Linked DNA regions of Sus scrofa. The protein of the gene in region 1 purifies or fractionates together with the protein of each later gene. This does not show direct contact. Links are inferred from orthologs where the notes say so. Each region holds a gene or a part of one and is shown in the gene's direction. Other genes may lie near its edges. The genes, in order: SLC22A5 and YIPF3.

Evidence for each region.
Region 2: the proteins of SLC22A5 (region 1) and YIPF3 purify together in Homo sapiens (co-immunoprecipitation; 3 studies listed by BioGRID and IntAct, counting the BioPlex papers as one, with this or other methods). This does not show direct contact. The link is inferred for Sus scrofa from reciprocal best matches to the Homo sapiens genes SLC22A5 and YIPF3.

What each region holds. Positions count from the first base shown.
Region 1 is NC_010444.4:134,677,589-134,681,395, forward strand, and holds part of SLC22A5 (solute carrier family 22 member 5), read left to right. Parts: intron 1-902; coding exon 903-1,029; intron 1,030-3,270; coding exon 3,271-3,371; intron 3,372-3,807. UniProt on the Homo sapiens protein: Sodium-ion dependent, high affinity carnitine transporter. Involved in the active cellular uptake of carnitine. Transports one sodium ion with one molecule of carnitine.
Region 2 is NC_010449.5:38,508,425-38,512,877, reverse strand, and holds the start of YIPF3 (protein YIPF3), read left to right. Parts: upstream 1-1,444; 5' UTR 1,445-1,589; coding exon 1,590-1,670; intron 1,671-2,166; exon of another isoform or gene 2,167-2,219; coding exon of another isoform or gene 2,220-2,264; coding exon 2,265-2,462; intron 2,463-2,653; coding exon 2,654-2,760; intron 2,761-4,436; coding exon 4,437-4,453. Other genes in the region: POLR1C (DNA-directed RNA polymerases I and III subunit RPAC1), read right to left, coding at 1,012-1,083, 1,210-1,293. UniProt on the Homo sapiens protein: Involved in the maintenance of the Golgi structure. May play a role in hematopoiesis.

The sequences.
Region 1 (3,807 bases):
ACAGTGGGGTCTAGTGTGACCTCCAGGAAGCTGTCAGACTGCAGGACAAGACAGCTTAAGCCCTGGCTCTGGTTGTGCGTTGCCATGGCCTCATGTCGTAGGCACTGGGTGAAGAGGGAGCACACTGTAAGTGAGAGTCCTCAGGGTAGCTGAATGAAGGAAGCCAGGTAGCTGAATGAGCCTCCAAGATAGAGGACAGGCAGAGGGAAGGGCAGTACATATCAAGAGAGAGAATACAGCTGAGGGACTGGGGTAGGGATGATGAGATCACTGGTCCACATGGACATGAGAGCATGACATGGCCAAGCGTAGAGGGAGAAGGTAGATACCGATGAGTCGCAATCATGGCCTAAGAGCAGCGGCTACCTGGTGAGGTAGAAAATAAGGTCCGCAAAGTCTCAAAGCACCCACATGCCTTGCAGAGTCAGCTCACTGAGTCAGGGGTTGGGATAGAGGAGTGCTAAGGAAAAGCTAGAGGCTAAGAGGGCAGTGCAGAAACACTGCACTGCCTGGAACAAGCAGAGGAGAACAGCAAGGTAAAGATCTGGGCTGGGCTGCGCCGGTGGCTGAAGGCAGGCTTCAGGAGCCCGTTTCGTGCCTGTCTACCTAGTGTCCAGCAGGTGGCACCACCACTCCTCAGAAATGGAGGTGGCTAGCCAGGGGAGGAATTCCCATCCTGGTGTGCTGGCCCCTTGAAATTTTGTGATCTCCCGTGTATCCGAAGCTCACACTTCAGGTCATTCCTGGGTGTAGTAGGGTACATCTCTTAGCTTCTGTCTTGGAAACATCGAACATTCCCCAAACCCAGTTCTGGTTCCGAAACCCCATTTCCCGCTTCCACTTGTGCTACACTGGTCCGTTAGGCAGGAAGGCCTCAGTCAGATTGCTCCTTGCACTTCCAGGTTCATTCCTGAGTCCCCCCGATGGCTCATCTCTCAGGGACGATTTCAGGAAGCTGAGGTGATCATCCGCAAGGCTGCTGGACTCAATGGGATCGTTGCGCCCTCCACCATCTTTGACTCAAGCGAGGTGAGCACTGTGTGAGAGCTGGCGGGAGGGTCTTGGTGACCATGATTTTAGGGTCGCACCCAGAGCCCCAAAGCCCCCCTTTCACGCAGCAGCCCAGCCCTCTCTGCCTGAGTGACAGCTGCCCCCAAGGCAGGCCCTGTTAAAATTCAGAAATTGATTGGGTTTAGGAGATTCTAACTGTTATATTTAAAATGGATAAGCAATGAGATATTACTATACAGCACAGGGAACTATATCCACTCTCTTGGGATGGACCGTGATGGAAGAAAATATGAGAAAAAGAATATAGATAAGTAGATAGATAGATATGGTACTGTGTCACTTTGCTGTACAGCAGAAATCAATACAACACTGTAAATCAACTGTACGCTAATAAAAATTTTTGAACAATGAATTTTAAAAACTCAGAGGTTGAGAGGAAGGTGCTAACTGCCTAAATCCCTTCACCTTTTCCATGGATTTTAGGTTTTCATACTTTATATAATTCTTTTCAGTTGAACCATTACCTTTAAATACTTTATTTACTTATTTAGTCTTTTTAGGGCCTCACCTGTATCATATGGAGGTTCCCAGACTAGGGGTCAAATTGGAGCTACAGCTGCTGGCCTACACCACAGGCATAGCAAGGCAGAGCCCTAGTTGTGTCTGGGACCTACACCACAGCTCTCAGCAATGCCGGATCCTTAACCCACTGAGCAAAGCCAGGGATCGAACCGGCGTCCTCATGGATACTAGTCGGGTTCGTTACCATAACAGAAACTCCTATTACATTTAATAAGAAAAACTCTTTATGAGTAATAGGCCTCTTGTGAAGTTGGTATTTGGGAAAATTGTTGTCTCTTACACCTTAGGTAGTCCCTCATCTTAAGAAAAATCTTGCAGTACCTGAACTGTGAAGCATAAGTAGATTTAGAGTTAGACATGTCCTGTCCCTTTCCTGCCACCAACAGGGAGTTGTTGAGTGTTGTCTTGGAGCCTGGTCCTTTTGGATACTCGCCCTCCCCCGCCCCACCCTCCCTGTGAACCCTGTTCCCACAGGCCAGGAGTAATTTCCTGGCTCTGCCTGACTCCTGGGTCTTGCGTCTCCTTCCTGTTCCCTTTCTTTCCACCCTCTCTGCAGCAAGCAGTTTTCCTCATCTCCTGAAGGGTAGAAGTTGTCATGGCTGGCCGATGGGGTTCTGGAGTGTATCTCTGTTCTGATGCGAAGACAAGGGGCTGGCTGTGAGAACAGCCACCAGCAGTCATGCTGCAATGTGCAAAGGCGTGTTAGCATGTCAGGCTCTAGATGCAGACCTGGGGCTTGGGAAAGGGAGACCAGTTATTATGGGCAGCAAAGAAGCTGCTGGCCACTTGGCAGCCCTGCCAGCCTCTCAGTTAAGTGGTGATCCAGCACCAGTCCCACTTAGCATGTCCTAGAAAGGGCCCTGGTGCACAGAGGGGAGGGGTCTATGCAGGGAGGGCTTTTAAGGGAGCTAGCCTCCGTAGCTCTGCAGGGGTCAGTCTGTGTGAACCCGTAAGTCCCACTGGCATCTTTGTGGAAATGGGGCTATTTCAGGGGATCTGTTAAGTCAAAAGTTGACCTTTTGTTGAACCACGGACTTGGGAAAAAACAAACTCCAAAGCTGGGTTTGCTTAAGAAAGCAACCTCAGTGTGTTTAGACGTGTGGTTTATTAATGTCCTTGGCTGTGCCAAATTTCATAGGAAGTTACTCTGGGTGAAGCTGAGGTCAATTTTCCTGTTTTTCTATCTGAAAAAATTTTTTCCCTGGAAGTAGTCCATAACTTCATGGTATGAGGACTGAAAACATTAATTCTTTTAAAATATCCTATCCATAAACTACACAGCCAGTTTCTTTCTATGACCCAGAAGGCTGGGAGCCAGCCTCGGGGAGGAATGCTCAGCGGCCTCCCTGGAATGTGGCCATTGACTGGGCTGGGGGTGGTGCCGGGAAGGCGCAGTCAGCTGGGGCCTCCTCCTCCGCTGCCTCATCACCTCAGGGACTGGTCGCCTCCTCTTCCTCCTCACTCTTGTTCACTAATTTGTTATCGACAAGGCCTGGGGAGCCTTCTGCAGCCCAAGATACAGTCACTATAGTCCTCTTCTTATCCAGCAAGACGCATAAAACATTCCCCAACCCAGAGATGTGCAAGGCTAAGATGCGAGGGTTTCAAGTATGTTCTCGCGTCTCTGAGTCTCCAACCTTCTCTCCCTCCCATACCCTTGTCATGTTGTTCCTGCAGCTACAAGACCTGAGCTCCAAGAAGCAGCAGTCCCACAGCATTCTGGATCTGCTCCGAACCCGGAATATCCGGATGGTCACCATCATGTCCATAATTCTGTGGTGCGTGAGTGAGCCCTACCTGCGTCCAGACAAGGTGCTGGCCGTGGCCGTCAGGCCCTGCATTTACAGACGCGTCTTAGACCAGAATTCAAAGCCTGTATCATCGGGGATGTGTCTTGCGATGAAAAGAAATGGGCATGTCCAAGTTCTTAATCTCGGAAGAGGAGAATGAAACTGTTGTGGGGGCTTGGGGGGAGATATGGGATCTCTGGGGATCCCTTCGGGTCATAAGGCAAGTCATTGCTCACTTTGGGTCTTAGTTTAGTTGTTCCAGTCACCTGTGCATCAGACATTGACCGAGGAGGACAGCTGAGGCCTTTTAGAAGTTCTAAGTGAAGACACCATGTCCTTTCGATTACAGAGGATGCTAAATACATTCTGAAAATGTGGAGACAGGACATCCTCCCTCTGGGATGGTTGAAGACGGTCCTGGAGG
Region 2 (4,453 bases), on another chromosome or scaffold:
TTTAAAGACAAAAAGGAAATGTTAAGGGGGTTTGAAGACTGCTGTAAGCCAACAACCGACCACTTAAGAATCCAGTAACTTAGCAACAATCTACACCACCTTGAAGGAAGACCAGGTGTATCTAAGCACCAGAAACAAGCCACAAGTCCTGATAGTTAAAACCCAAGACAAGAGATATGGGGTTTCAATCTTGTTACATGAAGTCAGAGTTATTGGTCCTTGAAGACTGGCATTGCTGCATGTAGACAAGGTGAAAGAGGGAAAAAACTAGGTGAAAGGGGAAATTATTCTGCAACCTGAAACGAATTACCACATTTTCGCATATGTTACCGCTTCTGCTAATATACCTATGATTTAAACAGCCCATGACACTCCCCCTTAGACCATATAGGGTCAAAGGAGGAACTGATGATGCAAGCCTGGACCATCTTACCCAAGAATGAGAAATAAGGTGGTCTTCTCCCCGCCCCACTTTCACCTTGATTATAAAAATGTAGCCCTCTTTGTTCTCTGGGTCGCACTCCCTTGCCTGCTCATTAGTATTTCTGACAAGCGTCCTATGCTAATAAATTCACTTATTGTGTATCGGTTTGCCTCACGCTGAATTCTTTTTCCCACGAGACAAAACCTGAGGCTCAGGAAGTCCTGACGATAGCAGGTGAGCGGTATCAATTAAGACAGTGGGTTTGAGTCCCCTCCTACGTCAGGGACCATGGGTTCAAGTTCCAATGGGGGTTTTGGCTGAGTTCGAGTCCCACCCGAAAGGGAGTGCAGCTTCAATCTTTATTGCTGTTAATCGCCCTTACCACAACTCACTAGAGTCGTGTTACCTGTACTCTTTTCCAAAAAGACCGAACCATCTCGTTAGCTTGTAGAACAAAGCAGAAATTGTGCACATCGAGTGCCTAACACATCCAGAGCGAACCCCCAAGGCAGTTTCCGAGGAACAGGATGTTCAGAGTGCAAGATCCGATCCTCATACCCTCTCTGAACACCTCCAGCTCTACCCACCTTCTCGAAGCGGTCCTGGTCCCAGGCATCATCATAGCCCGAATAGTTACCGGGAAAATCGGTAGTATGAACCTAGAGCAAAGAGAAACGAACCTGTTCGCGAAGGAGCAGCGAGGCCAAATTCATCCCCACTCCGACTCTAACTCATCCCTGCTCCGCTCTGATTTCTCCTCCCGAGGTCAAGTCCACAAGACTTACATTGCGAACCCCGAACTCCCCTAGAACCACGCGGCTCCGCATTTCCTCCACAGCCTGAGCCGCCGCCATCTTCAACTCCACCATGTGACTAGAGTACCAAGCCTGCGCGTGCGTTCTAGTCTCCCTGCCCCGTCTCCGTGGCAACACACCACCTCCCGGAATCCTAAATATCGCGAGAATCTGCCCCGCCTCCGTCCACGTCCTCAGATACCGGAAGTCAGTTTTAACCAAACATCCGGTTTTCTCCTTTTTGCGTTCCGGCCGATCCCACCTTTCTTTCTAGTCCCTGGACCTGTCCATCCGTCAGGCCCTCATCTCTCCCACTCCTCCTCAGCGCGCGGGACTAGCGCGGGCTTCAGCGACGGGAGCCCTCGAGGGACATGGCAACTCCGGCGGCGCCGGCCGGCGGCGCCCGAAATGGGGCTGGCCCGGAATGGGGAGGATTCGATGAAAACATCCAGGTAAGCGCCCCACGGCTCCGGCTGCCAGCAGCCCCACGGCCTGCAGCTGTCCTGAAGTGTCATGGGGACTCTTCCTTCGAGCCTTGGAAGTCTGCTCCGTTTGCAGAACTTTTTGTCTTCTTTGGGTCTTCGTGCACGTGAAAGGCAGTGGAACTAGTGCGGACCTAAAAGGTCCACACTAGTACCTCTGAGCCCCCTTGCTCTTGCTTTCCGCACAACTTAGAAGGTCGGGCACGGCCAGGGGCGAGGGTGGGATGGGGGGTAGGCGGGATTCACTGGCCAAAACCACACTGTGCGCGCAGCCTTGTTTTGGGGTGGAAAACACAAAGGAAATGGGCACTTTTGCAGCCTTTTGTGGCTTTGGTAGGAAAAGGACACGTATGGAAGACAGGGAGTAGGTTTCCCAGGCTGGAAAAGAGAGCCAAACAAAGGTTCTGAGAGCAGTTGAGGGGAGGGGAGTGGCATGGTCTATGGTAATTCTAAGCCGTATCTCCAGCAGTGAAAGGACAAAGCTCCAAGCTCTCCGGTGAACAGAGAAGGACATAACGGATGGAGCAGAAAGGTCCTCCACTGTGGGATCCGTTGTCTTCACAGGGTGGGGGCTCAGCTGTGATTGACATGGAGAACATGGATGATACTTCAGGTTCCAGCTTCGAGGATATGGGTGAGCTGCATCAGCGCCTGCGTGAGGAAGAAGTGGATGCTGATGCAGCTGCCGCTGAAGAAGAGGATGGGGAGTTTCTGGGCATGAAGGGCTTTAAGGGACAGCTGAGCCGGCAGGTGGCTGATCAGGTAAGCAAGACTGGCTCTCTGACAGGTGGAAAAGTATCCTGAGGCCTCTGGTTCTGAGTTGGTATTAGTGAAGTTCACCCCAGCTTGTCCAGTTAGAACCATGTAGAGATCCAACAAGAAATAAGCAAAAGGGCCTTAAAGCCAAGAGTCTCACGATACCCTCCCACCCCACCCGGTCTTCCTTGCTTCAGATGTGGCAGGCGGGGAAGAGACAAGCCTCTAGGGCCTTCAGCTTGTACGCCAACATCGACATCCTGAGACCCTACTTTGATGTGGAGCCTGCACAGGTGCGAAGCAGGTGAGGATCCTCCTGACCGAAGCTGCCTTCCTGACATCTAGCCCTTCATCCACTCTACAAGCAGACTCCAAGCCCTTAGAATCCCCTCTTCATGATTCCAGTCACAGAACAGGGCTTGGCGAGAACACACCTTCCTCCTCTTCTCCATCTAGCAAACTTCTCATCTTTCCTCAAAACCTAGCTCAAATGTCACTTCCTTTGCTCCCTGTTCCAAGTTTATCCTTTCCTTTCCTGATGCTCCACTAGGGCTTTGCTTTCCTTTAGCAGACAGCACTTCAGCGATGCTGTACTTTGTCATTCCTGGGTCTGTCTCCCCAGAGACCTCCTCAAAAAGCAGGCTCTGTTTTATCTTTTTTCTTTCTTTTTGTCGCCACCCCACAGCATGTGGAGTTCCCCAGCCAGGGATCAGATCCCAGCTGCAGTTTCAACCTATGCTGCAGTTGTGGCAATGCTGGATCCTTAACCCATTCTTCCGGGCTGGGCGGTTGAACCAGTGCTCCAGAGCTGCCACCGATCGAGTTGCACCACAGTGGGAACTCCTCCTTGTCTTTTTATTCCCAGCACTAAAATAGTCTCTGAACCAGACCATTGGTACATTGTTGTCAAGTTATGTTTCAAAAACCAGATTTAATCTTGCTTTGATTCTTTGTTCATCCTTTAATTCAGCTAATGCTTATCAAACACCCAGTACCACTCTACAAGTATTTACTAAGCTTTTGCTCTGTGTCAGATCCTACAGTTGTGTCTGATTTAGTGGTGACGACAAATGGGAACCTTATCCTCGGGCACAGCCGTGGAGCACTCATTTGCCATGTAGGAGGGACACCTGATGAGGGGTTGGCTGGAGGGTGGGACAGGGCAGCTTTTGAAGAGAAAGTAAAAATCTAGCCAAGATCCAAGGTATTATTAGGAGCCAGTCACTTAAGAAGTGGAGAAGTGATTGGTACTTTTATTCCTTCTACCTGCAATGTTCATATTACTTCAAGTACATTTTTCAAGAAAATGCTCAGTGGGGCCTAGAGGAATGGTAAGAAGGAAGAGGCAGGAGGCACGCTGGTTCCCTCAAGTAACAACTTTCCTGCTAAACCTGTCACCATCACATTCTCTTGGGGCATTCTCTGCTGAGGTCTGCATGTCTTTTAAAGGAGTGCAGGAGTTCCCGTTGTGGCACAGCGGAAACGAATCCGGCTGGGAACCATGAGATTTCGCGTTCAATCCCTGGCCTCGCTCCGTGGGTTAAGGATCCTGTGTTGCCATGAGCTGTGGTGTAGGTCGCAGATGTGGCTCAGATCTGGCATGGCTGTGGCTGTGATGTAGGCTGGCAGCTACAGCTCCAGTTAGACCCCTAGCCTGGGAACCTCCATGGGCCGTGGGTGCAGCCCTAAAAAGCAATAAATAAATAAGTAAATAAAAACTAAAGGAGTGCAGGTCACACAGGTAAGTGGCCATGCCCTCCAAGACCCAGCGGGGCTCTCGAGTCTCTGTGCCACTGCTGCGTCAGTCAGCACAGCATCAGAGGGCTGTTCTTCCTGGAAGCGTTTTCTGTCTTCATTACCGTCTTTTCCCTTTACCATCCAGTGTGTTCTCTTCATTTAGAGAGATGATTGAGATTCAGGTTGTCCAGAATCTCATAGCCTAGTACTGCCTCTGCTCTCATCTCTCCTCTCCCTTCCCAGGCTCCTGGAGTCCATGA